Anolis sagrei: one gene and its partner. The protein of the gene in region 1 interacts with the protein of each later gene in a pairwise test. Links are inferred from orthologs where the notes say so. Each region holds a gene or a part of one and is shown on either strand. Other genes may lie near its edges.

Region 1 (15,894 bases):
GCCTCGCCAAAAAGGCGCACACAGAGCTGAGCTGCGTTGGGAGGAATTGCAGCAACTCCTAGGGGTAGAAAAAAAGGGGGTGCAGGAAAGGGGTCCCCCTTGGGTTTGCCTTGACCTCCCTCTCCCCAAATAAAGACCCCCCCCACCTCCCAAGGCTGGGCTTGCGCCCTGGCCCCCTCCCCAGCAAGAGCGCGCATCCCTGGCTTTGCAACGCTCTCTCGGCCCCACCTCCGGGCTCCTCCAGCATCATCACGTCGGCGGCAACAGCTGGGGCGCCTTCCCCCGACGCCTCGGGATCCCCCGGGCTGCTCATCTCGGCCGCCCGAGGCCTCCGCAAGAGGAAGAGGAGGAGGACGGAGAGGAGGAGGAGGGCGAAGGAGCAGCAGTGGCAAGACGAGCGGCTGGCTGGGCGGCTGCCGAGAGCGGCTCCCCGGCGGCACCCGGCTGCAGCAGCAGGGACCTCTGGTGTCGGGAGGGTGGCTCTGGCTGCTCCTGCCAGCGCCACCAAGGCTGGGGAAGAGGAAGAGCAGGAGGAGGAGGAGGAGGAAAAAGAGAAGGAGGAGAAGGAGAAGAAAAGGCGAGGAAGTGGACGAGGAGGGGAAGAGGGGGTGAGGAAGAGGAGGAAGAAGAAGAAGAGGAAGAAGAAGCGGAGGGGGAGGAAGAATTAGAGGAGGAGGAAAAAATGAGGAGGAGGAAGAAGAAGAAGAGGAGGAGGAGGAAGAAGAAGAGAAGGAAGAAGAATGAGAGGAGGAGGAGGAAGAAGAGGAGGAAAAAGAAGCGGAGGAAGAATTTGAGGCAGAGGAGGAAGAAGAGGAGAAGGAGGTAGAAGATGAGGAGGAAGAAGAAGAAGAAGAAGAAGAGGAGGAGGAGGTAGAAGAAGAAGAGGAGGAGGAATTAGAAGAAGGAGAGGAAGAAGAATAAGAGGAGGAAGAAGAAGAGGGGAGAGGGAAGAAGAAGAAGAGAAGGAAGAAGAATGAGAGGAGAAGGAGGAGAAAGAAGATGAGGAGGAAGAAGAAGCGGAGGAAGAATTTGAGGTGGAGGAGGAAGAAGAGGAGGAGGAGGTAGAAGATGAGGAGGAGGAGGAAGAAGGAGAAGAGGAGGTGGAAGAATTAGAGGAGGAGGAGGTAGAAGAAGAAGAGGAGGAGGATGAAGAATTAGAAGAAGGAGAGGAGGAAGAAGAAGAGGGGAAGGGGAAGAAGAAGAGGGGAGGGGGAAGAAGAAGAGAAAGAAGATGAATGAGAGGAGGAGAAGGAGGAGGAAGAAGAGGAGGAGAAAGAGGGGGCGGAAGAAGAGGAGGAAGAAGAGAAAGGAGGAGGAGGAAGAAGAAGGAGGAAGACTAATTAGAGGAGGAGAAGAAAGAAGAAAGAGGAAGTGGAGGAAGAAGAAGTGGAGGGGGGGAGGATGAGGAAAAGGGAGGGAGGATGAAAGACGAGGAAGAGGAGAATGAAACAAGAGGAAGAAGAGAAGAAGAAAGTAGAAATATAATGGAGGAGGATAACAGGCAAGGAAGAGAAGGAGAAGAGGGAAGAAGACGAGGAAGTGGAGGAGGAAGAAGAAGATGAAGTGGAGGAGGAGAAGGAGGAAGAAGAATAGGAGGAGAAAGAGGAAAAAGAAGGATGGGGAAGAAAAGAGGAAGAGGGCAAGGGGAAGGAAGAGGAGAAAGATGAAGAGGGGGGGCAGGAGAAGGAAGAGAGGGAGGAGAAGGAAGAAAGGTGAAGTGGAGGAAGGAGAAGAAGTTGAGGAGGAGGAAGAGGATAAGAAGGGGAAGAAGGGGAGGGGGAGGAAGAGGAGAAGAAGAATAGAAGGAGAAGGATAAAAAGCAAGGAAGAGGAGGGGAAGAGGGAGGAGGATGAAGTGGAAGAAGAGGAAGAGGAAGAGCAGGAAGAAGATGAGGAGGAGGAGGAGGAGGAGGAGGAGGAGGAAGAATAGGAGGAGGAGGAAAAGGGTGGGGGGATCAAAAGAGGGGCCAGGGGGAGGAAAAGAGGGAAGAGGAGGAGGAAGAAGAGGAAGTGGAGGAGGAGGACCAACCGAAAGGAAGTAAAAGAAGAGGAAGGGGGAAAGACAAAGATGGCAAGAGGAAGGAAGAGGAAGAGGAGGAGGAAGAAGGATAAAAGGCATGGAAGAAGAGGAGGGAAAGAGGAAGAGGGGAGGAAGAAAAGAGGAAAAAGAAGAAGAGAAAGGGAAAAGAGAAGGAGGAAGGCACTGAGCTTCAGCTCCACAGCACACCTGGAGGGGCTGAGGGAATCAGCAAGTAGCTGAACAGGGGACAGGGGAGCCAGGATGTAGAATTAATGGAGTTTCACACCACTTCAGGTGTTTTGGACTTCAACTCCCACAATTCCTAACAGCTAATGAGATGGCTGGAATCTCTGGAAGTTGAATTCCAAAACACCTGGAGGACCAGTGGTTGGGAACCATCTGGTATTCATTGGCTATCCGCCATCCAAGTAGCAACCAGGACTGATACTTCACACCTAGCTCCAGCAGACAAGAGTCCTTTGTCTCACCCTGGTCATTCCACAGATATAGAAACAATTTTTCCTAGTTCCAACAGACCTCACTACCTCTGAGGATGCTTGCCATAGATGCAGGCGAAACATCAGGAGAGAATGCCTCTAGACCATGGCCATATAGCCCGAAAAAATCTACAACAACCCAGGACTGATCCTGTTTAACGTCTAAGACCTGATACCTTTCAATGGAAGCTGACCATAGAACCTCATTGGAGGATTTAAGAGATTCCTAGAGACATGTTCCCTCTAGAAATCTCCAGCTCTTCCAGGAGGCAGGTAACTACAGGGTCTCACTGGAAAACTTAGAGATTCTTAAAATAGTTTGTGAATAATCAAATCTGCAAAAGTCAGAACTGTAGAGCAGAGTGGAGGGTAAGTCCTGGCACCACAACAACTGGGAGGAAGCTAATTAAGAAAACGCCCTCCCTCTTTAACAAATCCCACACAGGGTTGGGCTGCACATTGCTCTGAAACATAGCAAGCAGTCAGTGCAAATATACAGGCGCATGGAGCGCACATAAATATGTCTGCTGAAGTTTGCTCAGGAACACTTGCGCACAATGACCCCATCAGCCTGGAAGGCAGGCTTTCCGCCTTAATTTGCAATCCAATTTCCTTGCACCTAAACAAACACTTCCCAAAGAGATTGCAAACTTGCCCGCTGCACCTAAACACAAGTTCTTCCTGGGAGAATGAGAACACAACCTATTTAATGTTGTCTTTGCCTTGAACATTTCAGAAGGCGGCTAGACTCCAGGCAGTTGTCACAAGCAAAAGCCCCCCAAAAGAAAAAAAATAGAGGAGGGGGATGGCGAATTTAACTTAGCACAAGAGGGACTACCTAGGCCTCCCTGAGTAACTTAGCAACAGCACAAAGAGCGGAGAAAAGAGGCAACAAAAATATGTGGGTGAGGAAGTGTGGCCGAATGCATGTGTGTGTGACCCCGGTCTGTGCATGAAAGGACGCAGAGGGCTGTGAAAGAGCCGGGCGAGAGAATGCATGGGAGCAAAGAAAAGAGATGCAAAATGAGATGCAAGCATTCTCTGGGTGCCAGAACATGGGAAGGACAGAACATGGCAAAATCCACAAGAAAGAGGATGTGACGGGTTTGTGAGATTGTGGGGCACAGTCTATGCACACCTGTGGAATTGGCATCAGTGAATGAAGAAACATAGCCTGACAAAAGGTCATAGAATCATAGAGTTGGAAGAGACCTCATGGGCCATCCAGTCCAACCCCCTGACAAGAAGCATTCAAAGCACCCCCGACAGATGGCCATCCAGCCTCTGTTTAAAAGCTTCCGAAGAAGGAGCCTCCACCACACTCCGGGGCAGAGAGTTCCACTGCTGAACAGCTCTCACAGTCAGGAAATTCTTCCTCATGTTCAGGTGGAATCTCCTTTCTTGTAGTTTGAAGCCATTGTTTCGTGTCCTAGTCTCCAGGGCAGCAGAAAACAAGCTTGCTCCCTTCTCCCTATGACTTCCTCTCACATATTTATACATGGCTATCATGTCTCCTCTCAGCCTTCTCTTCTGCAGGCTAAACATGCCCAGCTCTTTAAGCCACTCCTCATAGGGCTTGTTCTCCAGACCCTTGATCATTTGAGTCGTCCTCCTCTGGACACATTCCAGCTTGTTAACATCTCTCTTCATTTGTGGTGCCCAGAATTGGACACAGTATTCCAGGTGTGGTCTAACTAAAGCAGAATAGAGGGGTAGCATTACTTCCCTAGATCTAGACACTATGCTCCTATTGATGCAGGCCAAAATCCCATTGGCTTTTTTTGCTGCTGCATCACATTGTTGGCTCATGTTTAACTTGTTGTCCATGAGGACTCCAAGATCTTTTTCACAAATACTGTTCTCGACCCATGCATCCCCCATTCTGTATCTTTGCCATGCGCCCCCCATTCTGGTCTTAGTGTAGGCATGGTCAAACTTCAGTCCAAGTGGCTGAGGGGCAAAAAGAAGGGGGTCTGAGACTGTTAGGAATGGTGAGAGTTGAAGTCCAAAACACAGGATGGTAAAACATCTGGGTGTCCCCTGGGCAACGTCCTTGCAAACGGCCCACCAGAAGCGACTGGTGGAGGCTTCTTCTTTGGAAGAGGCTGGATGGACATCTGTCAGGGGTGATTTGAATGCAATATTCCTGCTTCTTGGCAGGGGGTTGGACTGGATGGCCAATGAGGTCTCTTCCAACTCTTTGATTCTATGATTCTATGACTTGTAGTTTCTCAAGTGGCTCCTGACATGAAAAAAAAGTACTGATCACAGTTGATATTTCCACTGTCTTATTAAAGACCTTGTAGAATGAATTCAGCTTGACGCCACTTTACTTGCCATGGCAGAATGTTAGTGAATCATGTGAGTTGTAGTTTGGTGAGGTACCAACTCTCTTTGGCAGAGGAGGCTAGATACCTGGTAAACAACTGCAAGGATTCCATAGTACTCAGCCATGACAGTTACAGTGATGTCAAAGAGTATTAATTATACAGTATAGATACATCCTTTAAGGAGATGACTTACTCTAGTATAGAACTGGACTTTATGTGGACTTTATTTCTGCCTTCCCTCTCTTCCAATAGGGAACTAAAGATACCTTACAACAATAAAATACAGCTAGAATCTAGTTTTTGGGGTTACCACAGCTCTTCTACTTATGCATCTCCCACTTTGCCTTCCTCTTCTTCTAGCTTTATCTTCCATAACATTGCTGGGTTCACTTTTTGCAGCTACCTGAGTGGTTATGTTCTCCCTACAAGGCAACTGAGCTATTGTTTGGTTTGTATGCTATGTGTCTGGTGGGAACACTTGGAAGTGTCGGAGGGCCATTTTCAAGTCATGCAGACCCTACATGGACCACAGTATGGCCATTTTCCAAAAATGGAAGTGACATTTTGCTCAAGCGGTGGAGAGACACAACAATTCCCTATTTATGGTTCTGCTCCCCCCACCCCCACCATAACATTAGGACCATTTAACTGATTATTGCCCCATTGCTCTATATCAGTGGTTCTCAACCTTCCTCAACCTTCCACATGCTGCGACCCCTTAATACAGTTCCTCATGTTGTGGTGACCTCCAGCCCTAACATTATTTTCGTTGCTGCTTCATAACTATCATTTTGCTACTGTTATGAAATTTGGAACAAATATCCCATAAGCCCAAATTTGAACATGGTGAGGTTGGGGGGTGGGGTGGGTGGGTGGTGGTGGTTGATTTTGTCATTTGGGAGTTGTAGTTGCAGGGATTTATAGTTCACCTACAATCAACAAGCATTCTGAACTTCACCAACGATGGAATTGAACTAATCTTGGCAAATGGAACTCCCATGAAAATACTGAAAGGGTTTGATGGGAATTGACCTTGAGTTTTGCAGTTGTAGTTCACCTACATCCAGAGAGCACTGTGGAGGAAGGCAGGGATGGAGGGAGGGAGGAAGCAACCAGATGGATACATTGATATGACTGCATGAGAGTAAGGCCCCTTCTACATTGCCATATAATCCATATTATCACAGCAGATAATGCAGATTATCTGCTTTGAACTGAATTATATGAGTCTACACTGCCATATAAGCCAGTTCAAAGCAGATAATCTGGATTTTGTATGGCAGTGTAGACAGGGCCCAAGGGCCCTTCCACACAGCCCTATATCCCAGAATATCATGGCAGAAAATCCCACAATATCTGTTTTGAACTGGCCTTGATATACTGGGATCCTCTGCCTTGATATACTGGGATAGAGGGCTGTGTGGAAGAGCCCTAAGAGTGAGGAAAAGTGTGTGTGTGTGTGTGAGAGAGAGAAACAAACCATCACACTCTTAAAAACTCACTTTTTTTGTACTATTCCTCCCAGATATTCCCAACCAGCTCACACTGCGCATGATCGCTCGGGGATTCTAGGGAACAGTAGCCAGAAAAGTAACTTTCCTCAGTTCTGGGCATCTGTGTTTGCACATGCTACAAAAGTTATGCCCTGTTTTCTCGCATCCCTTGCTTTTGTTTCTCCTTCTCCAGCTCCAAAACCCAAATCCATGTGTTTGAGCACAGATGTGTGGGAGAGAATCCATCTCATGCAACATTGTAAGTAGCCCAGCTGCTTGAGTTTCCCAATACACTTTTTTCTACTTGTGAGATTCATCTTTTCATCTGCTCTCTTTCCTCTCTCTTCCCAGGCCTCCTTGAAATGTTTCCCCTGCACCAGCACTATGCATGCTTTGCTATACATTGATGCTAAGCCCCCCTCCCCACCCATGCCTATAATGGCACCTGCCAGGAGACCCTCCCAAATTTCTCTTCCCCACTCCCCAGCACCCACCGTTCTCAGAGGCTGTGGACCCTTCACAGTCAGAGATGAGTTGCTGGGGGTTGCGCTGTTTCCTCCGAGACATCCCTGCTGGGGTTTGGGGAGGGGACCCCAAGTCTCTGTCTTTGGTGGGGAGCCAGTGGGCACCTGACCCTGGTCTCTCGGGAATGGCATCCCTCCCCTTGCCCCCCCCCTTGCAGCCCCTTCCCCTTTCACACATCCTCAGGGGACACGCCTCCCCCCCTTTGTGCCTCTCATTGTAAAAGCAAAACTCTTAATCTTTCTGTACACTCTTTTTTCTTTTGTACTGGCAGGATTGGATGGGGGGAAAGAGGGAAGGAGAAGGAAACTTAACTCTTTCTTTCCCTGAATTGCTCCCTTGGAAAGAGAAGAAACTTTGGGGGATCTTTATTTCCAACACTGAAATCTGGCCACTTCTGGAGAGAAAGGAATCAGAGCAAAACCTGGGCTGAAATTAACTAGATTGCTCTCAAACCCCTTCTTGCATTTATGCCCAGTGATTCCATTATTTCCATGCCACTAAAACACCCATTTTGGGGTGTTTATTAATTTTTGGGACATAAGCGTTTTTGGTTTTCCCCATTGAAATCCAGATAGTCCTAGAGTGGAAGGAATCAGAGCAAAACTTGGGCTGAAATCAACTAGATCAGTGGTTCTCAACTTTCCTAAAAAAAAATTTCCGTGGCAGGAGCGACTTGAGAAACTGCAAGTTGCTTCTGGTGTGAGAGAATTGGCTGTCTGCAAGGACATTGCCTAGGGGATGCCCGAATGTTTTGATGTTTTACCATCCTTGTGGGAAACTTCAGTTATTTCCCCACATGGGGAGCTGGAGCTGACAGAGGGAGCTCATCCACACTCTCCCTGCATTTGAACCTCTGACCTGTCGGTCCTCAGTCTTGCCAGCACAAGGGTTTAACCCATTGATTGCTAACTGGAGCAACATATGACCCCTCTGTTATGTCAGCTTCACTGGCTGCCGGTCCACTTCCGAGCACAATTCAAAGTGCTGGTCTTGACCTATAAAGCCTTATATGGCTCCGACCCAGCTTACTTGTCAGAACGTATCTCCCTGTATGTCCCACCCTGCAGTTTAAGGTCCTCCAGGGAGGCTCTGCTCTCGGCTCCGCCAGCTTCGCACATTTGTTTGGCGGGAACAAGAGACAGGACCTTCTCGGCTGTGGCCCCTCGCCTATGGAACTCGCTCTCCAGCGAGATGAGGTCGGCTTCTTCCCTCCTGTCTTTCAGGAAAAAATTAAAATCATGGTACTGGGACCAGACCTTTGGACAACAGATGTAGCAGCACTTGGTTATGGAACTGAACTGGATTTGACAAAATTATGAATTGAACTGGACTGGCTTCATGCTGTTGACAAATGTTTTAAGTGCTTTTAACCTAATGATTTATTTGTTGCTTTAAACTATTGATATATTGTTTGTTGTATTTATGGCATTGAATTGTTGCCAATGTAAGCCGTCCCGAGTCCCCTCGAGGGTTGAGAAGGACGGGATAGAAATGCCGGAAATAAATAAATAATAATAAATGGAGCCAGTGGGAGATCCTAATGCCGCAACCCCTTAACACAGTACCTCATCTTGTGGTGACCCCCAAACCATAACATTATTTTCGTTGCTACTTCATAACTGTAATTTTGCTCCTGTTATGAATGGCACAATGTTAGTGAATCATGTGAGTTGTAGTTTGAGAAGGTTAGAAAGCTTGTAAACAACTGCCAGGATTCCATAGTACTCAGCCGTGACAGTTAATTATAGTGATGTCAAAGTATATTAATTACACAGTAACCTTTAAGACAGTGTTTCTCACCCTCCCTAATGCTGCGACCTCTTAATACGGTTCCTCATGTTGTAGTAATCTCCAAACCATAAAATTATTTTTGGTGCTATTCCATAATTGCAATTTAGCTACTGTTATGAATTGTAATGTAAATATTTGATATGCAGAATGTATTTTCATTCACTGGATCAAATTTGGCACAAATTTGGTGGGCTTGGCGGGGGGATTGATTTTGTCATTTGGGAGTTGTAGTTGCTGGGATTTCTAGTTCACCTACAATCAAAGAGCATCCTGAACTCCACCAATGATGGAATTGAACCAAACTTGGCACACAGAACTCCCATGACCAAGAGAAAATATTGGAAGGGTTTGGTGGGCTTTGACCTTGAGTTTGGAGTTGTGGTTCACCTACATCCAGAGAGCACTGTGGACTCCAACAATGATAGATCTGGACCAAACTTGGCACAAATACTCAATATGCCCAAATGTGAACACTGGTGGAGTTTGGGCAAAATAGACTTTGACACTTGGGAGTTATAGTTGCTGGGATTTATAGTTCACCTACAGTCAAAGAGCATTCTGAACCCCACCAACAACAGAATTGAACCAAACTTCTCATACAGGACTCCCATGTCCAACAGAAAATACTGTTTTTTCTGATGGTCTTTGGCAACCCCCTTGAAACCTCCTTGTGACCCCCCAAAGGGTCCCGACCCCCACGTTGAGAAATGCTTAACTACATCAAATACTTTCTTGCCTTCATGCAAATCCCATCTCTAGTCGCTTATCACATTTATGGCCAATAATGATATACTTCCAAGTCACTAAGATACCCATTTTGTGACTGTGAAGTCTTGGCCTTATTTTAAAGAGATAAAAGTACATAAAGGTATACTGATAGCCACTGGGGAATAGCCAGGCAAACATAGTTTTCCTTCAATCCCAGGCGTGGCATCACAGTGATGTTTCTTAGTTTTTGGGGATAGATGTTTTTGGTTTTTCTATCCAAATTCAGCTTCCTTTGGAGTGGAAAGAATCAGAGCAAAATTTAGTCCGAAATTAACTAGATCACCCTGAAACCACTTCTTGCATTTAAGTCCAGTTATTCCATACTTCCAAGCCACAATGATACTCATTTTGGGATGTTTCTTATCTTTTGGAGGTAAATATTTTTGTATTGACATTGAAATATTTCTGCTTCTGGCATGGAACAGAATCAGTGACACTTGGATTGAAATTAATTACATCACCCTCAAATCACTTGTTGCGTTTATGCCTGGTAATTCCATACTTCCCCAATCCCATACTTTTTGGGATGTGTCTTAATTTTTGAGATGGACCTGTGTGGTTTTGCCACTGAAATCCAGCTGCCTCTGAAGGGGAAGGAATCAGAACAAAATTCAGGCTGAAAATAACTGGATGATGCTTAAATAGTTTCTTATGTTTATAGGCAGGAGTTCCATTCCAACAAATTATTAAGATGCTCAATTTTGGGATAGATATTTGGGTTTCTCCATTGAAATGCAGATAGCTATGGAAATCAGAGGAAAACTGGATGAAATTAACTGGATCAGGATTCAAATGATTTTACTCACAATTATGCTTGTACTTCCATGCTCCACCAACCACAGTGACATTTGCTTTGTGAGAGAGGAAGTATACATGCTTACTATCTGGACAATTGGAGCCCCTGGTCGTTCAATGGGTTAAACCCTTGTGCTGGTAGGGCTGCTAACCGAAAGGTTGGTGGTTCGAATTCGGGGAGCGAGGTGAGTTTCCATCTGTCAACTCCAGCTTCCCAGGTGGTGATATGAGAGAAGCCTCCCACAGGATGGTAAAAACATCCGGGCGTCCCCTGGGCAACATCCTCACAGAATTCTCTCCCACTAGAAATCTCAAAACACTCCTGACATGGAAAAAAAATCTGGAGAATCTATTCCTAAAAGATCCTTTCTTAAAATTTTTTGGACATAGACCTTTGTGGGTTGCCTGGCTGGTATTTTTAAAGCATTCCTCCACACCCTTAATTATGCCAGAATTAACACTGGAATCACTACGAGATTGAAGTTCATCCTTTAAATGAGACTAGAGGCTTGTCCTTTAACCTGCGGTCTCCATTTGCATTCCCATCCTATTTATTTATTACCATATTTATTATGTCATGTTAATATTGTCGCTCTCTAAGGCACCACAAAATTTGTTTTTATTTTTTTAAAAGCAGTTGAATCCTCCTTAAATGAAAGAGGGGAACAATTTATTTTCTCTTGAACTATTTTGGTTACAAAAATGTGGGATTGAAAGAGGACGTTGTCTCTCTAAAAGCACACTTCTCTCAAAAATCAATCCATTGGCCTGCTTTCTTTTGTCTCCTCTTCCCCTTCCTCCTGCAACTTTTTAATCTTCCTTCCTAGATTATTTTCAAATTTGTTTATTTCTTCTTAATTTTCTCATGCACCTTCCTTCATTCCTGCATATTTCTTTCTTTCCTCATTTGATCTTTCCCTTTCTTTTGCATTTAACTTGATCTCTTCCATTTTGCCAACCAGCTAGCCTTTCTCCCAGGTCTGTCCTCCTTGCCTCCTTGCCTCCTGTCCTTCCATCCCTCCCTCCCTTCCTTCTCAATTCACTTCCCCCCCCCCCCATTCCTTTTGCTCCACCCTTCCCCATTTAATTTTATTGCAGCTTGCCAAACAGGTAGCTTTCTTTTCAGGTCTATCCCTGCCTTCCCTTCCCCTTCCCCTTCCTTCCTTCCTTCCTTCTCCCCCCCCCCCCCCCCGCTTCCTCCCTTCTGCATTCACTTCCTCCCATTCCATCTGCTCCATCCTTTATTTAATTTTATTCCAGCTTGACAAACAGGTAGCTTTCTTTTCAGGTCTATCCCTCCCATCCCATCCCATCCCTTCCCTTCCCCTTCCCCTTCCCCTTCCCCTTCCCTCCTTCCTTCCTTCCTTCTCCTCCTCCCTCTTCCTCCCTTCTCCATTCACTTCCTCCCAATCCATCTGCTCCATCCTTTATTTAATTTTATTCTAGCTTTCTTTTCAGGTCTATCCCTCCCCTTCTTCCTTCCTTCCTTCCTTCCTTCCTTCCTTCCTTCCTTCCTTCCTTCCTCCCCCCCCCCCTTCCTCCCTTCTGCATTCACTTCCTCCCATTCCATCTGCTCCATCCTTTATTTAATTTTATTCCAGCTTGACAAACAGGTAGCTTTCTTTTCAGGTCTATCCCTCCCATCCCTTCCCCTTCCCCTTCCCCTTCCCCTTCCCCTTCCCCTTCCCCTTCCCCTTCCCCTTCCCCCTTCCCCTTCCCCTTCCTCCTTGTTTTCATGACTATTCCTTCATTCTTTCTCTTCTTATTCTCCTCCCTATCTTCTTTCCTTCGTTTAACTTTCTTCCATTTGACCAGCCAGGTAGCTTCCCTCCCTTTCTTCTTTCCTTCCTTCCTTTGATCTCTTCCATCCTCCATTTAACTTCCAACCAGCCAGCCAGCTTGCTTGCTTGCTTCCCTCCCTCCCTCCGATCTCTTCTTTTCTTTCCCATGTAACTTCCTTCCTTTTCTTTTCGGCCCATGTCCACATAGCTACCTCCATCTGTCCTGGGCACCCCATCCCTTCTCCATCCCTCCTGTCTCCCATCCCCCTTTGAAAGCCAACATCTTTGACTCTCCCTCCTCCACACCAATCCACTCTTCTTCTTTTTCTTCTCCTTTTTTCCACCCCACACCACTCCTGCCTCCTTTTTACCTCTTCGCTGTGGCCTTTTGACCTCCCCCCAGAGCTACAAAAGTAAAATCCTCGGGAGAAGCTCGCTACGGGAATGTTAATGAATCCCCCGCACAAAGGCATAAAGACTTTTCCTTCAGCGCTTTGGGGGGGAAGATGGGCCCCTCTGAGACTATATTTGTGTGTGTGGCGGAGTGGAGAGGATTTCGAGAGGGGGGTTGAGATGGGATGTAGGCACAGGGTCTCCAAAAGAGCCCAGAAAATTAGGAAGAGGGGAGAAGAAGCACTTCTCTTTCCTCCTCTGCCCTCTTTTCTTTTATCAGTTGCTCAATTCCGTCACCTGTGCCCATAGGATCGGGATTTAATTTGGAGTTGGAGGAGAGAGAATGTGAGACCTGGCCTTTGAAAGGACAAAGAATTAAAGAGACTAAAACCAAGTCTCCCTCGCTCTGCAAAAAAAGTCAGTCTCCTGAATCTTCTATGCACTTCTGTGGGAAGGCCAAGTAAAAATGAAGCACCAAATCTTCTATCCCTTTGTGCCTTCAGGAGAACGTGCATCTATCAATATATTTCCAAAATCATACGCCTACTATGCAAGCCTACTATGCAAATATATTTGGCGTGAATATGGGGAGGATTTGACGCTTGGAGATAATGTAACTCCTCAATTATCTCTTCTAAGGTTCCTTTTTAAAAACAACTCCCAGAGTCCTCCAGCAATGTATGTTTAGCTTGAAGGAGAGAAGACGGAAAGATATCACAATAGCTTCTTTCAAATATCTGAAGCTGGGAATATGTAATCAATGCTCTAGTTACATCTCAAATAGACTACTGCAACACAATCGACGTGGGTTGCCTTTGAAGACTGTTTGGAAGCTTCGACTAGTCCAAAGACGGCAGCCAGGATGCTCACCAGAGAGCCAAACCGAGAGAGAACATCCCTCCTGTTGCATCAGCTCCACTGGCTGCCAGTCTACTACTGACCACAGTTCAAAGTGCTGGCTTTAGCCCAGTGGCTCCCAACTTGTGGTCTGTGGATCACCAGTGGGGCTGCAAGAATTAAAATATGGTCTGTGGCCTCACTGTTACTACACCGTTGCAACCCTCTTACAGTGCCGAGGCTTATTAAATATGCTTTTCTGTGGGTGAGTAGTTGGCGACTACTGGATGTCATCTGTTCTACATCAGAAACTAGAGCTGATGTTTGTCAATCATCTCAGAGGCATTTTGCTTGCGTTGTCCATGGAAATCATCCGAGCGCTCTGTTAACTTAGAATCATGGAATCATAGAATCAAAGAGTTGGAAGAGACCTCATGGGCCATCCAGTCCAACCCCCTGCCAAGAAGCAGGAATATTGCATTCAAATCACCCCTGACAGATGGCCATCTACTTGTGGTAGATTCCTTCAGCGAATACAATATGAAGCTGTCATCACCAAGGAACTGGTTGAGATCATTTCTGGTGCTGCCGCTCTGAACTAAGGGCTAATCAGAAAGTGAGTTTCAAGCAAAGTCCAACAGGTAAAGAGAAACTCTTCTGACAGGTGGTTTACCCCACTTCCAACCTAGAGAGGAGGAGTCAACTCTTTGGTCCATAAGTCTGTGAAAAAAAATCAGAGAATACCAACTATTTATAAAGTCTTTATTTCAATAAAATCCTACACGAAAAAAAGATACTAGAGCTGATGTGATCAATCCAATGCAATATTCCAAATCAGCACCCCAAGTAACCAAACCAAATCTAAAGTTGACCAAAAACTGATTTTGGTACTAATGTTGGAGAGGGGTCCCTGGTCAAATGGTCCCTGGTTAAAGTCCCTCATGAAGTTGTCCCTGGACAAAGTGGTACCTGGTCAAAGTGGTTCCTCATCAAGTGGTCCCTGGACAAGTGGTCCCTGGTCAAAGTGGTCCTTGGTCCAACCCACTTTACCTGTTTGAATGTATCTCCCTCTATGAGTCACCTAGAAGGTTAAGATCTTCTGGGGAGGCCATGCTCCTGGTCCTGCTTCCTTCACAAGGGCGACTGGTGGGGATGAGAGACAAGGCCTTCTCAGTGGTGGTTCCTCAGCTGTGGAGCTCCCTCCTTGGAGCATTAGATAGGCCCCATCGCTCCTGGTCTTCAGGAAAAGGCTAAAGATGTGGATATTTGGCCAAACATTCTACCAGTGCAATAAGAGAATAAAGATTAGTGCAATGACAATCTGGAATGCCTCAAACTATGATATTGGATCATGTGATTTTAAATAAGTGGTTTTAAGGTTTGATATGTTTTTAAAGATTGTTTTAATGTATACATTTATTTTACTATGTATGTCCATATGCATTGAATTGCTGCCTATATACATAAGCCGTCTTGAGTCCCCTATGGGGTGAGAAGGGCGGGATATAAATATGGTAAATATAGTCCACCAGAGAACAGAACCCAAAAGATGTTAGAGAGGAAACAGTGTGACTTGGATCCACAGTGAGAGATGCTCCTTGGAAAACACATTTAGGCATACTCTTAAGGTATCCTTTTTGTCTCCATCGTCATATGTATGGTCCAATCTCTTTTTCATGTATCTTTCTCTTCTAGCACCCAAACAGCAAGTGCAGGATGTCTATGCCACTAAAATAAAGGTAAGAGCTAGTTTCTCTTTCTTCCAATGAGTCTCTTGCAATTACAAAGATGCCATCTTCCCATGGAATGGTTGCCATTGGTGTTGTAAGCTGTCTCGAGTCCCCAAGGAGAGATGGAACGGAATATAAATAAAGTTTGATTGAGAGGCTGAGAGGAGACATGATGGCCATATATCAAGATGTGAGGGGAAGTCATAGGGAGGAGGGAACAGGCTTGTTTTCTGCTGCCCTGGAGACTAGGACGCAATGGAAAGGAGATTCCACCTGAATAGTAGGAAGAACTTCCTAACTGTGAGAGCTGTTAGCAGTGGAACTCTCTGCCTCGGAGAGTAGTGGAGGCTCCTTCTTTTAAACAGAGGCTGGATGGCCACCTGTTGGGGGTGCTTTGAATGTGCTTTTCCTGCTTTTTGGCAGAATGGGGTTGGACTGGATAGCCCACAAGGTCTCTTCCAGTTCAATGAGTCTATGACTGAAGAACTTATTGATCACTGAGAATGTTCGACAGCAGAATACACAGCCACGAGGTGCTCTCTCTACTTGGAGGACTTTAAACAGAGGTTGGGTTGGCATCTTTCAGGAGTTCTATCATTGGGTATTTGTGTATGTTAGGCATTGGACTAGAATCATAGAGTAATAGAGTTGGAGGAAACCACAAGGAGCATCCAGTCTAACCCCTTACAATGCAGGAAAAAACAGTCAAATCACTCCTGACAGATGATTATCCAGCCTCTGCATAAAAACCCCAAGAGAAGGATATTCCACCATATTCTAAGGCAGCGCATTCCATTGCTGATCCTCTTACCATCAGGAAGTTTTTTCTAATGTTTAGGTAGAATCTTGTCCTGTGATTTGACTATAGATTTGTGGTTCTCAACCTGTGGGTCCCCAAGTGTTTTGGGCCTACAACTTCCAGAAATTCCAGCCAG
Region 2 (15,794 bases), on another chromosome or scaffold:
AATAATGCGTACTGGGGTAAGGTGGCCTTCTGCAGCTGGCAGGCAGATCATGATTTTGTCAGTGCTGATTGTTTTTAAGTGCAGGCTAAGGTCTTTAGGCACTGCACCCAGTGTGCCGATCACCACTGGGACCAATTTGACTGGCTAGTGCCAGAGTCTTTGCAGTTCAATCTTTTAATCCTCATATTCCAGGTTTTCTGTTTATCCCAGATTATCTGGCAGTGCGGACTCATATAATCCAGTTCAAAGCAGATAACCTGGGATCGGATCTTGGGTTATAAGGACAGTGTAGAAGGGGTCTAGGGGCCCTTCCAGACAGGCCCTATATCCCAAGATCTGATCCCAGGTTTTCTGTTTATCCCAGATTATCTGGCAGTGCGGACTCATATAATCCAGTTCAAAGTAGATAACCTGGGATCGGATCTTGGGTTATAAGGACAGTGTAGAAGGGTTCTAGGGGCCCTTCCAGACAGGCCCTATATCCCAAGATCTGATCCCAGGTTTTCTGTTTATCCCAGATTATCTGGCAGTGTGGACTCATATAATCCAGTTCAAAGCAGATAACCTGGGATGGGATCTTGGGTTATAAGGACAGTGTAGAAGGGGTCTAGGGGCCCTTCCAGACAGGCCCTATATCCCAAGATCTGATCCCAGATTTTCTGTTTATCCCAGATTATCTGGCAGTGCGGACTCATATAATCCAGTTCAAAGCAGATAACCTGGGATCGGATCTTGGGTTATAAGGACAGTGTAGAAGGGGTCTAGGGGCCCTTCCAGACAGGCCCTATATCCCAAGATCTGATCCCAGGTTTTCTGTTTATCCCAGATTATCTGGCAGTGTGGACTCATGTAATCCAGTTCAAAGCAGATAACCTGGGATCGGATCTTGGGTTATAAGGACAGTGTAGAAGGGGTCTAGAAGGGGTCTAGGGGCCCTTTCAGACAGGCCCTATATCCTAAGATCTGATCCCAGGTTTTCTGTTTATCCCATATTATCTGGCAGTGCGGACTCATATAATCCAGTTCAAAGCAGATAACCTGGGATCGGATCTTGGGTTATAAGGACAGTGTAGAAGGGGTCTAGGGGCCCTTCCAGACAGGCCCTATATCCCAAGATCTGATCCCAGGTTTTCTGTTTATCCCAGATTATCTGGCAGTGTGGACTCATGTAATCCAGTTCAAAGCAGATAACCTGGGATCGGATCTTGGGTTATAAGGACAGTGTAGAAAGGGTCTAGGGGCCTTTCCAGACAGGCCCTATATCCCAAGATCTGATCTCAGGTTTTCTGTTTATCCCAGATTATCTGACAGTGTGGACTCATATAATCCAGTTCAAAGCAGATAACCTGGGATCGGATCTTGGGTTATAAGGACAGTGTAGAAGGGGTCTAGGGGCTCTTCCAGACAGGCCCTATATCCCAAGATCTGATCCCAGGTTTTCTGTTTATCCCAGATTATCTGGCAGTGTGGACTCATATAATCCAGTTCAAAGCAGATAACCTGGGATCGGATCTTGGGTTATAAGGACAGTGTAGAAGGGGTCTAGGGGCCCTTCCAGACAGGCCCTATATCCCAAGATCTGATCCCAGGTTTTCTGTTTATCCCAGATTATCTGGCAGTGTGGACTCATATAATCCAGTTCAAAGCAGATAACCTAGGATCAGATCTTGGGTTATAAGGACAGTGTAGAAGGGGTCTAGGGGCTCTTCCAGACAGGCCCTATATCCCAAGATCTGATCCCAGGTTTTCTGTTTATCCCAGATTATCTGGCAGTGTGGACTCATATAATCCAGTTCAAAGCATATAACCTGGTATCGGATCTTGGTTTATAAGGTCAGTGTAGAAGGGATCTAGGGGACCTTCCAGACAGGCCCTATATCCCAAGATCTGATCCCAGGTTTTCTGTTTATCCCAGATTATCTGGCAGTGTGGACTCATATAATCCAGTTCAAAGCAGATAACCTGGGATGGGATCTTGGGTTATAAGGACAGTGTAGAAGGGGTCTAGGGGCCCTTCCAGACAGGCCCTATATCCCAAGATCTGATCCCAGTATGACATTTCAAGCCTTGGGAAAAGTTTGAATGAAACAGAATTGAAGAATGCCTGTCAACACCTTCAAACCATTTTGGCTGATAGTGAAGACTGTGATGTGAAAGGTGATGATCTGTTTGAATAGCTACAAATATTTGCAACCATGCTGCCCCCTGGAAGTCATCCAGCGAAAGCGTTGTCTTTCATAACCAAACGTGGTTATGTGGATACTTTCCCAAATGTTTATATTGCATTGAGAATTCTGTTAACACTTCCAGTATCTGTGGCCAGCGGTAAAAGGAGTTTTTCAAAATTAAAACTTATAAAAACGTACTTAAGATCAACTTTGAGTCAAGAGCGCTTGAGTGGACTAGCAACCTTGGCCATTGAAAATGGCTTGTTGGATGAAATGGAAAGAGATATAATAGTACACGAGTTTTCAAAATTGAAAGCCAGAAAAATATCTTTTTAATTTTAAAAGTGTTCAAGTTTATTTGTGTTAAAAAAACAAAACTGGATGTTAAAGTATCCAGTCAAGTGAAGGGGCCAGATGCTGGCTGTGTTGCCACACCCATTGCAATGGTCCAGGCTGGCATGGCACTTTTGAAGGACAAGAGTTCGCTTTCTTAAAAAGGAGGTGTCTATTCTCCTAGGGCTGCGTTCTCCAAAACAAATCTGATTTACAGACCCAACAAGCATGGGTTTGAGTTCTCTGTTATTAGCAAGACCCTAGTCTGAAAAATCTTTTGAAGAGACAGCATGACCAATAAACCTTTGTGTAGTACTTGTAGACCAAAAATAACAACAAAAACTTAAAATTGTTGCTAAGTTTAATAAAATATTTGCATTCTAAAAAAAGTTAATTTGTGTTAATTCTAGGTAATGTAACTATATGAACATAAGTAAATTTCTGGTTTGTAAGGTAACTCTTTTATTCACCTCTACCTTCTATGTTTTATTTTTCAGTGATTGGTTGAGGGGGGGGGGGCGCCAAAATAATGTTTGCTTACCTTTGAAAATTACCTAGGGCCGCCTCTGCTCTAGACAATGGCCATATAGCCCGAAAAAACCCTGTGATTCTGGCCATGAAAGCCTTCGACAATATTGTATTATTATTACTATTATATTGTATTACATTATAATATTATAAATATTATATGTATATACAATACACTATATTATTAGTAAAGACAAGATGGAACTGTCTTCTGCTCCTCTCTGTCTTCTTATAAGGTTGGATACCGATTAACATTTCATTCCATTTTAATGTGTTTTGAGGGGATGTTTTCAAAGGGCTATTTATTTATTTATTAATGATATTTGTATCCCGCCTTTCTCAGCCCGAAGGTGACTCAAGGCGGTTTACAGTCAGCAACAATTCGATGCCACGACAGACATAAAAATACAGTTTAAAACATTCCACATATAATATAAAAAATTCCTCTGACTAGGAATCCCCACCCCAAGTCCTAGTAGCACCTTAGCATAACGAATCGTCGCTGCACACCGCACTTTTAATCCTACGTGCCTCCTGCCATTCAGCACTTTTAACCTTGTACCCCATTGCGCCGGCCGAACCAGTTTTAATAATGTCTTGATGTACTGCCATTGTCGTTATTTTGCTTATTGTTTTGATTTGCTTTGCTATTGTTGTGTTATGTTTTCTATTGTATTGTGTTTTGAGGCTTCGGCCTGTGTAAACCGCATCGAGTCCTCCGGGAGATGCTAGCGGGGTACAAATAAAGTTAATAATAATAATAAAATAATAATATAAAAACAATAAGAAACATAAATCATCAGCATCTTTTTACTAAATTCATTTTCCAATGGCATCATCAAATAGTTCCATATTTGCCTGTTATGCTGCATTTGTGAAAGCTCGCTCGAGCCAGGTTTTGACTTTTCTTCAAAAAATTTATGGTTTTTTTGGGGGGGAGCCATTACTTAAGTTCGGAGCCATATCATGGGGAAGGGGCATTGTCTTTCCCCTGATCTTTCTGCTAAACCTCATAACTGGTTCTTTCTGTGACTGAGTCCTGATCAAACTCACAAAGCAGAGGGAGGAATCAATTGTGGCCCTACAAATATGGCTCCCGAGATCCTATAAGTGCTGGGCTGCCGGGCCCATGAAGTATAATGCAAAAAGCCAGGCTTAGTGACCTTTGGAGCAGGCCTTCAATCACCTTCCACAACTCCTGCATCAGGTAATCAGCACATCTCTCTCTTAATTTGGAGGGAAGGAGCAGTCAGTGCAAGAGAATCCTGCCAGGGAGGAAGCGAATCCATCTGGGTTGGTGATGGTGGCCCCATCTTCACTGACTACTTAATGCAGTTTCAAGCCAGCATACAGAAAATACTGGGAGGTCCAGATAGGGATCGCAGGAACCACGGCACACAGACAAAGTGCGGAATTGTTTCTTTCGCACACTATTGTGGCAAAATCTTGCCTGGTTGCCACAATATGAAGTGCATTGAATGGTCCATGTGGATGAGGCCTTGGACGGGTTCTCCAATGCACAACAGCCAGGGCCCAACTTTCTTTCTTTGGTACTGTTCCATTATCCCGTCGGAGGCCACCGGGGGTGCAAGAGAGAGGACAGTCATTTTTACAGGGTGGAGGGTGGGTTGGAGGAGAAAAACCATTTCCCCCTGTTTTCCTGTTATTCTCCCCACCCATCCCATGGTGGAAACAACCTGCGAAAATGGGGGAAATAGTTTTCCTCCTTCAACTCGCTCTCCGTTGTTGTTTATTTGTTCAGTCGCTTCCGACCCTTCATGACTTCATAGAGCAGCCCTGTCGTCTGTGGCCACCCCCAGCTTCTTCAAGGTCAAGCCAGTCACTTCAAGGATGACATTTATTTATTTATTTACTATATTTATATACCGTAAACTACCGTAAACTCTCAGCCCCCAGGCGACTCGGGGCGGTCTACAGTCGGTAACAAGACCATAAAATACACTTAAAAACATTAAGATAATAAAAACAATATATCATTAGGGTCTCCTTGAAATCCGTCCAACTTGCCCTTGGTTGACCCCTCTTTCTTTTTCCTTCCATTTTCCCCAGCATTGTCTTCTCCAAGCTTTCCAGTCTTCTCATTATGTGGCCAGGAGCCCCCGGTGGCGCAGTGGGTTAAAGCCCTGTGCCGGCAGAACTGAAGACCGACAGATCGCAGGTTCAAATCCGGGGAGAGGCGGATGAGCTCCCTCTATCAGCTCCAGCTCCTCATGCGGGGACATGAGAGAAGCCTCCCACAAGGATGATAAAAACATCAAAATCATCCAGGTGTCCCCTGGGCAACGTCCTTGCAGACGGCCAATTCTCTCACACCAGGAGTCACTCCTGACACGACAAAAAAAAAAATTATGTGGCCAAAATATTTTATCTTTGCCTCTAATATCCTTCCCTCCCGTGAGTAGTCAGGCTTTATTTCCTGGAGTATGGACTGGATGGATCCCTTCCTGTCAATCAGTGGTTCTCAACCTGTGGGTCCCCAGATGTTTTGGCCTACAACTCCCAGAAATCCCATCCAGTTGTTAGGATTTCTGGAAGTTGAAGGCCAACACATCTGGGGACCCACAGGTTGAGAACCACTGCTGTAAATGGACTATATCCTCTCTCTATCGCCCCCTAGTGGTCACCACTCGGGTAATAGAACGGTACTCTTTCTTGGACCAGGTCATGGCGCAGCTGGTTCAGAGTCAGATGCATTAAAATCTGCTACTGACCAAGAGGTCGTGAGTTCAAAGCCAGCCGGGATCAGGGTGAGCTTCCAGCCATTTGTCTAGCTTGCTGTCAGACTTTACAGCCCGAAAAACAGTTGCATCTGTCAAGTAGGAAATTTAGGTACCGCTTATGCGGGGAGGCTAATTTAAATAATTTACGACACCATAAAACTCTCCAGCAGTGTGCAAAAACAATGAGGAAGGACACCATCACAAGTGGATGGTGACACCGATGCACGATCCCGCCGATCCTCTGGGGAGGCCCTCCTTTCGCCTCTTCCTTTTTCACAGGCAAGACTTGTGGGAACAAGAGAAAAAGCCCTGTGGCCCCCGACTTTGGAATTCACTACCTGGTGAGATTAGGCAAGCCCCCACCTTAGCAGCCTTTAAGAAAAATCTGAAAACTTGGCTCTTCCGATGTGCCTTTGGAGAGTTCTGTTTGTTCCATCTACAGTGTTGCCCCTATGATGCACTTTCCCCCATCCTAAATTGAAAGTCTAACACCACTGTTCATCCTTTCTGGGCTCCTCTCAATTACACTTTTTCTATTCCTACCTCATCCAGGGTTTTATCATTTTACCTCGTCCATTTGGCCTGCCCATTGTGTTTGATTTTATATATGTCCATCTCTTCTGTTTATTTTATTTTGCTACTTTATGTATATTATTCTGATGAAATTTTGTTGCCTGCATTTTGTATTTTATTTTGCTGTATTGGTATCTTTGAGTTTGGCCTCATGTTAGCCACCCAGAGTCCCCTTCGAGGTGATGGTGGTGGGGTATAAATAAAGTTTTTAAAATTATTATTATTATTATGGTGAAGCGACAGCTCCCTCGGTGGCTGGAATTCAAAAAGCATACCCTCATGAAGCTGGAAAGTTAAATAGCCTCTGTGTCTCTTATCTATATATGTTGTGTGTCTATGGCATTGAATGTTTGCCATGTATATGTGCATTGTGATCCGCCCTGAGTCCCCTGCGGGGTGAGAAGGGCGGATTATAAATGCTGTTAAGTAAGTAAGTAAATAAATAATACATTTCCTTGCTTCTCTCTCTCCATGGCTGAGGCCCAGGAAGGCCGAGCTCAGGGTTTCCTTTGAGGCGTCCTTCCCTCCTCATCCCTGAGGGATGGAGGAGGCTTGAGGTGAGCTCCCTGCTCTGCTGCTGGGCCGAAGACAGCCCGGGTCAGCGTGAGCTTCCAGCCATTTGTCTAGCTTGCTGTCGACCTTTGCAGCCCGAAAAACAGTTGCATCTGTCAGGTAGGAAATTTAGGTACTGCTTATGCGGGGAGGCTAATTTAACTAAGTTACGATGCCATAAAACTCTCCAGTAGTGTGCAAAAAGAATGAAGAAATACTCCATCGGTGTCACAAGTGGATGGTGAAGTGACATCTCCCCGGTGGCCGGAATTCAAAAAGCACACCCTCATGAAGCTGGAATGTTAAATAGCCTCTGTGTCTTTGGTCTATATGTGTTGTGTGTCTATGGCATTGAATGCTTGTCATTTATATGTGCATGGTCAACATTTTCTAATGTTACGTCATTAAGCTGTATCTCTGGCATTGGAAAGGGATTTGCTGGTGACTTTGGTTTTCTTGATGTTCAATGACAGGCCGAGCTTCTCGTATGTTTCTGCGAAGGTGTTTAGAGTGGCTTGTAGATCTTCTTCTGAATGTGCACAGACGACGTTGTCATCAGCATACTGGAGTTCTATAACAGATATAAATAAATATATTTCCTTGCTTCTCTCCCTCCATGGCTGAGGCTCAGGAAGGCCGAGCTCGGGATTTCCTTTGAGGCGACCTTCCCTCCTCATTCCTGAGAGATGGAGGAGGCCTGAGGCGAGCTCCCTGCCTTCCGCCGCCTTGGAGGAAAAGGGACACAGGAAGCAGGAAGGCCCCTCTTCCGCCTGCCTCCTCCTCTCCTCAGGAAACTGCTTCCCTCAGTGCCTCTGGGAAAAAAGCTGCACTCGCAGAGCTCAGGCAGTGTTGTATTTCAGTGTTGATGTTGACTTTGGTAGAGAGGTGGCTGCCAAGGTAGCAGAAATGGTCTACATTTTCTAATGTTATGCCATTAAGCTGTATCTTTACGAGAGATTTAGAATTGTCTGCACACCCACATATCCCTAAAATATCCATCCTATTTCTCTTGAACATGCCCAGCATTATAAAATTTTAATCATTACATTTGGCCCTGCCACAGGTTTTAAATGCGTCGTGATATTATTGTTATGCCTTACGAGTTATTTATTGTTGTATTGTTGTTGTTGTGTTTTATTGATGTATTTGGGCTCGGCCTCCTGTAAGCCGCACCGAGTCCTGCGGGAGATGGTAGCGGGTTATAAATAAAGGATTATTATTATTATTATCTGTGGTATTGGAAAGGGATTGGCTGGTGACTTTGGTTTTCTTGATGTTCAATGAGAGGCTGAGCTTCTCGTATGCTTCTGTGAAGGTGTTTAGAGTGGCTTGTAGATCTTCTTCTGAATGCGCACAGACGACATTGTCATCAGCATTCTGGAGTTCTATAACAGATATAAATAAATATATTTCCTTGCTTCTCTCCCTCCATGGCTGAGGCCCGGGAAAGCCGAGCTCGGGATTTCCTTTGAGGCGACCTTCCCTCCTCATCCCTGAGGGATGGAGGAAGCCTTCCGCCGCCTTGGAGGAAAAGGGACACAGGAAGCAGGAAGGCCCCTCTTCCGCCTCCCTCCCTCCCTCCCTCCCTCCCTCCCTCCCTCCTTCCCTCCCTCCCTCCCTCCCTCCCTCCCTCCCTCCCTCCCTCCCTCCCTCCTTCCTTCCTTCCTTCCTTCCTTCCTTCCTTCCTTCCTTCCTTCCTTCCTTCCTTCCTTCCTTCCTTCCTCAGGAAACTGTTTCCCTCAGCGCCTCCGAGGGCGGGGCTTGCGGAGGGGGCGGGGCGCGCGGTGCCGCAGGCGCAGGCCACGCCCCTTCTCCCCCTCCCGCTGGAGATAAGAGCTCCATTGCTGTGAGTGTCAGTGTCACCGCCGCTGAAGCCGAAGGAAGCGGCGGAGTGGGCGGGGCGTGCATACTAATGAGGCAGCCGGGCCTCTCTATTGTGCAACCGGAGCTCTGAGGTGAAAAGCGCAGGCAGGATGGAGGCGGGGAGCCTTGCCGGCGCTGCTCTTGCCGCGGCGCGCTCCTCCTCCTCCTCCTCCTCGTCCTCCTGGCTGTAGGGCTCGGGCAGCGGCGCTGAGGGCGGGCGGGCGGCAGGGAGCTGCTTCCTCCTCCTCCTCCTCTTCGTCTTCCTTCGCCTTCCTCCGCGGCCGCCATGGAGCCCGGGCGGCCAGGCCTGTGAGGGAACGGGAACAGCAGCAGCTCCTCATCCTCCTCCTCTTCTCCTCAGAGAAGGAAAAAGGGAGAGGCGGCGGCGGCGACGGCGGCGGCTGCGAGGGCCATTTTAACCTGGTGCGTTTGCCATCTTATCCCCTCAGGAAGCGGGCGGAGGGCCTTGTTGTTTGGCAGGGTTTGTGGGGGGGGGGGGTTCTTGGAAGGCCCCAACCCCCTTCCCAGGCTGCCATGTTTTATTGTTTGCTAAGATCATCCCCGCCTGTCTGCTTAGGGTGGTTTTGGCTGAGGGGTACCAAAAAAAGGGGGGGGGGGAGTTTCCATGGCAACAAAAGGGATGCCACGGGGAGCTGTGGGCGCCATGAGGCCGAGGAAAGGGCGCCTGCCTGCCTGCCTTCTCTTGGATGGGCCCGCTTGGAGCCTCCCTTATCCATTAGAATCATAGAGTTGGAAGAGACCTCATGGGCCATCCAGTCCAACCCCCTACCTAGAAGCAGGCATGTTGCGTTTAAAGCACCCCGACAGATGGCCATCCAGCCTCTGTTTAAATCCTCCAAAGAAGGAGCCTCCACCACACTCTGGGGCAGAGAGTTCCACTGATTGTACTTGAAAGATAATATTCACAATCATAGAATAATAGAGTTGGAAGAGACCTCATGGGCCATCCAGTCCAACCCCCTGCCTAGAAGCAGGAATATTGCATTCAAAGCATCCCTGACAGATGGCCATCCAGCCTCTGTTTAAAAACCTCCAAAGAAGGAGCCTCCACCACACTCTGAAGAGACAGTTCCACTGCTGAACGGCTCTCACAGTCAGGAAGTTCTTCCTCATGTTCAGATGGAATCTTCTTTCTTGTAGTTTGAAGCCATTGTTCCACATCCTAGTCTCCAGGGAGGCAGAAAACAAGCTTGCTCCCTCCTCCCTGTGGCTTCCTCTCACATATTTATTCATGGTCCTCATCATGTCTCGTCTCAGCCTTCTTCTCTTCTTCAGGCTAAACATGCCCAGCTCCTTAAGCCACTCCTCATAGGGCTTGTTCTCCAGACCCTTGATCATTTTAGTCACGCTCCTCTGGACACATTCCAGCTTGTCAACATCTCTCTTCAATTGTGGTGCCCAGAATTGGACACAATATTCCAGGTGTGGTATAACCAAGGCGGAATAGAGGGGTAGCATGACTTCCCTGGATCTAGACACTAGACTCATATTTATGCAGGCCAAAATCCCGTTGGAGTATAGTGTCTACATCCACGGAAGTCATCTTTCAAAATAGCACAATCATTATTAAAAGTGTAGAATCAACAGTTCCATAACAAAACTTGTTAATATCTCTCTTGAATTGTGGTGCCCAGAATTGGACACAATATTCCAGATGTGGTCTAACCAAGGCAGAATAGAGGGGTAGCATGACTTCCCTAGACCTAGACACTATGCTCCTATTGATGCAGGCCAAAATCCCATTGGCTTTTTTTGCTGCCACATCACATTGTTGGCTCATGTTTAACTTGTTGTCCACGAGGACTCCAAGATCTTTTTCACACGTACTGCTCTCGAGCCAGGTGTCATCCCCCATTCTGTATCTTTGCATTTCGTTTTTTCTGCCTAAGTGGAGTATCTTGCATTTGTCACTGTTGAACATCATTTTGTTAGTTTTGGCCCATCTCTCTAATTTGTCAAGATCATTTTGAATCCTGCTCCTGTCCTCTGGAGTATTGGCTATCCCTCCCAATAATAATAATAACAATAATAATTTAAAAGATTTAAAGATTAAACTGCAAAGACTCTGGCACAAGCCAGTCAAGGTGGTCCCAGTGGTGATCGGCACACTGGGTGCAGTGCCTAAAGACTTAACTGCACTTAAACACAATCGGCGCTGACAAAATTACCATCTGCCAGCTGCAGAAGGCCACCTTACTGGGATCTGCATACATAATAATAATAATAATAATAATCTTTATTTATACCCTGCCACCATCTCCCCAATGGGGACTCGGTGCGGCTTACATGAGGCCAAGCCCGGACAACATATTACAGCAATAAAATCAAAACATTAACAACAAATAACAACAACATCATCAAAATTATATTTAAAAAATAGCAGCAGTCATAAAAGATCATTCTAATAAACACAATCATGGTGACGGTAACAATGGATAAAAATAGGATAAAAACAATTCAAAGACTGAAATGAGACAAAATAGGAGCAGAACATTTACAGGTACTCATAAAATACATAGAATTGTGAGGCTAAACTTTCCATTTGGGGGCGCGAGCTCCAGCAAAAACGTTGAGGGGTGCAAAATATCATGGCATGCACCTACTCACCAAAGGTGCAGCGGAAGAGCCAGGTTTTAAGGTTCTTTTTAAACATTTCTAATGAAGGGGCTTTCCTAATCTCTCCAGGTAAAGAGTTCCAAAGTCGGGCATTATTTGCCGATACACAGTCCCAGACAGTAGGGAAGTGTCCGACGTGTGATCCGATACAACAGCCAGCAGAGTGTCTGCTGTGGACTCATCTCGTTGTGTTTCAAATAATAATAATAATAATAATAATAATAATTAAAAAAACTTTATTTATACCCCGCCACCATCTCCCCAAGGGGACTCGAGGCGGCTTACATGAGGCCAAGCCCAACATCAGTAAAAAACAAAGCAGCAAGCAAATAAAACAGTACAATTAATATAACTCGCATATAAGCAACATATGATTACACGCTTTCACGTTTCTTGAACACTTGAATGGGTCAACACCACAGGTCAGGGAATCTATATCAATAAAATGGATGAATTGACACGAAATTTGGACACAAGACACCTATCAGGCCAACAAGTGACCATTATTCATAAAAACACTGAAAAACACAACAGAAGGTACTTAAAATGCCAAAAAACCCAAAAAATACATTACAACACATGCACACAACCATATATATATGAAAATGCACATATATACACACCTACACAAATATATACACATAGTACATATGTGTATAACACACACAATGTGATGTTTGTTTGTGGGATTAACATAATTCAAAAACCACTGGACGAATTGACACCAAATATGGACACAAGACACCTATCAGGCCAACAAGTGACTATCACTCATAAAAAAACACTGAAAAACACAACAGAAGGGACTTAAAAGCCAAAAAAAACAAAACAAAAAATTACAATAACGGATGATGAGATTGGATCTTGATTCTACTGATGAGACACTAATGATTTGTTATATTGATGCTTAATTGTTTATTATGCTACTGTTTTATCTGTCCCTTAACTGTTTATATGATGTTTAGCATTGAATTTTTGCTGTTGTTAACCACTTTGAGTCACCTAAGGGCTGAGAAAAGCAGTATATAAATGAAATAAATAAATAAACACATGTACACAACTACATATATATGCGAACGCACATATATACACATCTACACAAATATATACACATAACACACATATATGCATAGCACATATGTGTATAACACACACACACATATACACATAACGCAAGCACACAAAACACATATGCAGATACTGGGCCACAGCAACAGGGCAGGGGATGGCTAGTAATAGTATAATAATACTCAGCAACAGTTGGGTTGATAGAGCCTGCAAAGCTGGTCCTACCTGTCTCTGTTTCTTAGAAGCTGGCATATTTTCCCAAGGAGCAGCTCTTGGGTTTGTTTGTTGTTTTACCCTCCATGCTGGCAAATCTTAAAATGTCCACAAGTGCCCGCCCTCAGGGAACATCTCTCAGAAAGCCCTGTTGTAGGTTGGGGCTTCTTCAAACTTTTCAATTGCAAGATACTCCACTTAGGCATAGTGTGGTGGAACCTCCTTCTTTTGAGGCTTTTAAACATCTGTCGGAGGTGCTTTGAATGCAATTTTCCTGCTTCTTGGCAGGGGGTTGGACTGGAGGGCCCATGAGGTCTCTTCTAACTCTATGATTCTATTATTCTAATTCATGACCTCTATTCGGTATTTGAGATATTTTGAGGTAGCCCCAATGATGTAAAACAGGTACAAAACTCAAATGTTTCCTGGTGCGAGGATCAGCAATTGCAAGATGGTTTCCCTTTTTATAGGAGCCCCCGATGGTGCAGTGGGTTAAAGTAATATAATATATTGTATATACATATAATATGTATAATATTGTAATGTAATGCAATATAATACTAATAAAAATATGATATTATAACTATATATTTTATATTACATGTAATATTACTAATAATATTACAATATAATGGTATAGTACAATATAGTAATATATAATTCTAAGATGGTGCTATGCTAATAATATATTGTATGTATATATAACTTGTAAGCCGCTCTGAGTCCTCTTCAAGGTGAGAAGGGTGGGATATCTAAGTTGTAAATAAATAAATACATAAACATAGCAAAAACAGTACAAATACACACACTAAAAGGTACCTCCATAAAAGTTCCATACCAAAACGTATCTCTATGAAATACATGTTAAAACAGACAAAACAGAGATTAAACAAAGGACATGCATTAAATTCATGATTATGTTTAAAGATTGTCTTGATAGGCCTGCCAGAAGAGACAGGTCTTCACTTGTGTCTTAAATTCCGACAGCTGATTTAGAGGCAGGTCGTTCCACAGTCTTGGGGCAGCTGATGAAAAGGTCCTCTGGGTGGTGGTTGCCAGTTGGGTTCTGGCTGTTTGGAGCAGACGTCTCTCAGAAGACCGAAGTGTGTGAGGCAGATTGTATGGGAGAAGGTGATCCTTTAGGTAACCTGAACCCAAGCCATGCAGGGTTTTAAAACTCAAAACCATCACTCGGAAACGAATTTGCAGCCAGTGGTTTAACTTTAGGATAGGTGTAATATGCTCACTCCTAGATGTTCCAGTAACCAATCTGGCTGCTGTATTTTGAACCATTTGGAGTTTCCAAACTTGGTACAAGGGTAGCCCAATGTAAAGTGCATCATAGAAGTCCAACCTTGAGGTTACCAAATGCCTGAAACAACCACAAAGTGACATTGGGAGAACTTACACTGTTGTCAATTTTTGTGACCCCAACATGGAGCTAAGACTACCCCATTTGAGGCTGGGACCCAGATTTTAGGAGGCAGTGTTGTCGATCAGCCCCCCCCCCCCACATCATAATGCTGCTCTTCAGTCTCATAAGCCCCAAACATCGGATGTACTCTTTGGGGCTGATGGTCCTTGCAATCAAAAACATCTGATGGGGAAGGTGCCTATAGTTCTACATCTTGTTAAAAAATCATCCTGAAGAATGAAATGAGAAAGACAGATATTACTAAGGAGTTGGAGGATGCTTCATTGAGTTTTCCTGTGAAGAAGAGAGCTGAAGAGTTGTGCACGATTTCAGCCTTAGGTGGGAGTGAATGGCGGGGGGGGGGGGGATTTATAAGTTGAAAACCCAACCAAGGAAGGAAGTGAGAGAGAAAACAGTGTGTTCCTCTCTTTAAAGGTCTTGAGCTACCTGTGCTAGGATTGAGAAGATGCCACATTGCTGGAGCAAAGCAATGCCCACAGAATATCTTCTAACTTGTTCTACTCTGCTATTTGTGCAGTTCCAATATCTTCTAGTTTCCTTGCTGGTATTGTTTATCCTGTGGAAGAAAAACAAACAAAAGAGTTATTTTTTCACTCTTTAATGCAGGTGTGAAATTGCATTTATTGTTTTGTGGCCTGATTGTGATCTAGCATTGTGAAGAAATGCATCTACAGCTAATACAAATTGTCTTCTGCCGTTACTCTTGGGTGTTTTTAATTTGAAGGGAAGGGTGGAGAGGACATCGGCTCTTCATGTTGCCAGATACTCAGCTCATTTTGTCCTTTCTGTTTGGCTAAACACTGCCAATCTGTCTGCAGAGAGTTTAATTTAAGTTGTGATTCATAGGGTAAGGGGGTATCCTGAAAGCATGAAAACTCATGCAGCATTCTTTCCACAATGTCAGAAGATAAGAGGGTTCCTTTTTTTTAATTTTATTTATCAAAAGATTACTACCCCGTGAACTATGGCTCTTCCCTGGAGCAGAAGACAAAACAGATTGAGAATTCCACAAATCTGAACACTGCAATCAAGCAGCCTCTCTCCTTTCTATGGACCCAAATGTACCAGACAGGCCATATTACCAAGTTGTCATGACAAATACCCCTTTCTCTGGTTGAGCAACTTGAGAAAGAAGAAAATGTTTGCAGTCTGAGTACTCTGCATAAGTCTATAAGCACATAAGCTTCCACATTTTATGAAAATTTGAAAGGATAGGCATCACAGGCCAGGGAATACTCATCAACAGTTTGGCTAGTAGGGTTGGTCCTGCAAAGCTTGTCCTACCTGTCTCTGGTTCTTATACCTTGGGTGTATTATTTTTCCTTACTAAGGATTTGGCAGCAAATATTTAGTTGTTTGAATGTGGATGAAGTGAAGGCTAACAACAGTATGCTTTATTTCCTCCTTGGTAACTTTTTCACTGAGTTGCTTTGTAACTCTAGAGAAAACAGGTTTATTTATTTATTTATTTATTTATTTACATCACTTATATCCCGCCCATATCAGCCCGCAGGCGACTCAGGGCGGTCTACATATCGGCACAATTCGATGCCATCAATACAATACAAAAGCAAAAACAATTAAGTGCATTTAGACAAAAAAGACAGTGCAATAACAATTTAAAAAGAGCTATATCCTCTCAATCCAATCCTCATCCGTTTCATCGTCTTGGCCGTTCCTGGG

The links.
Region 2: the proteins of SALL2 (region 1) and ZMIZ2 interact in binary tests that used the Homo sapiens proteins (3 or more experiments, as listed by UniProt). The two-hybrid records come from large-scale screens. The link is inferred for Anolis sagrei from reciprocal best matches to the Homo sapiens genes SALL2 and ZMIZ2.

The regions. Positions count from the first base shown.
Region 1 is NC_090026.1:10,881,373-10,897,266, reverse strand, and holds the start of SALL2 (sal-like protein 2), read right to left. Parts: upstream 6,981-15,894; 5' UTR 6,907-6,980; coding exon 6,834-6,906; intron 1-6,833. UniProt on the Homo sapiens protein: Probable transcription factor that plays a role in eye development before, during, and after optic fissure closure.
Region 2 is NC_090027.1:15,221,365-15,237,158, forward strand, and holds the start of ZMIZ2 (zinc finger MIZ domain-containing protein 2), read left to right. Parts: upstream 1-8,725; 5' UTR 8,726-9,181; intron 9,182-15,794. UniProt on the Homo sapiens protein: Increases ligand-dependent transcriptional activity of AR and other nuclear hormone receptors.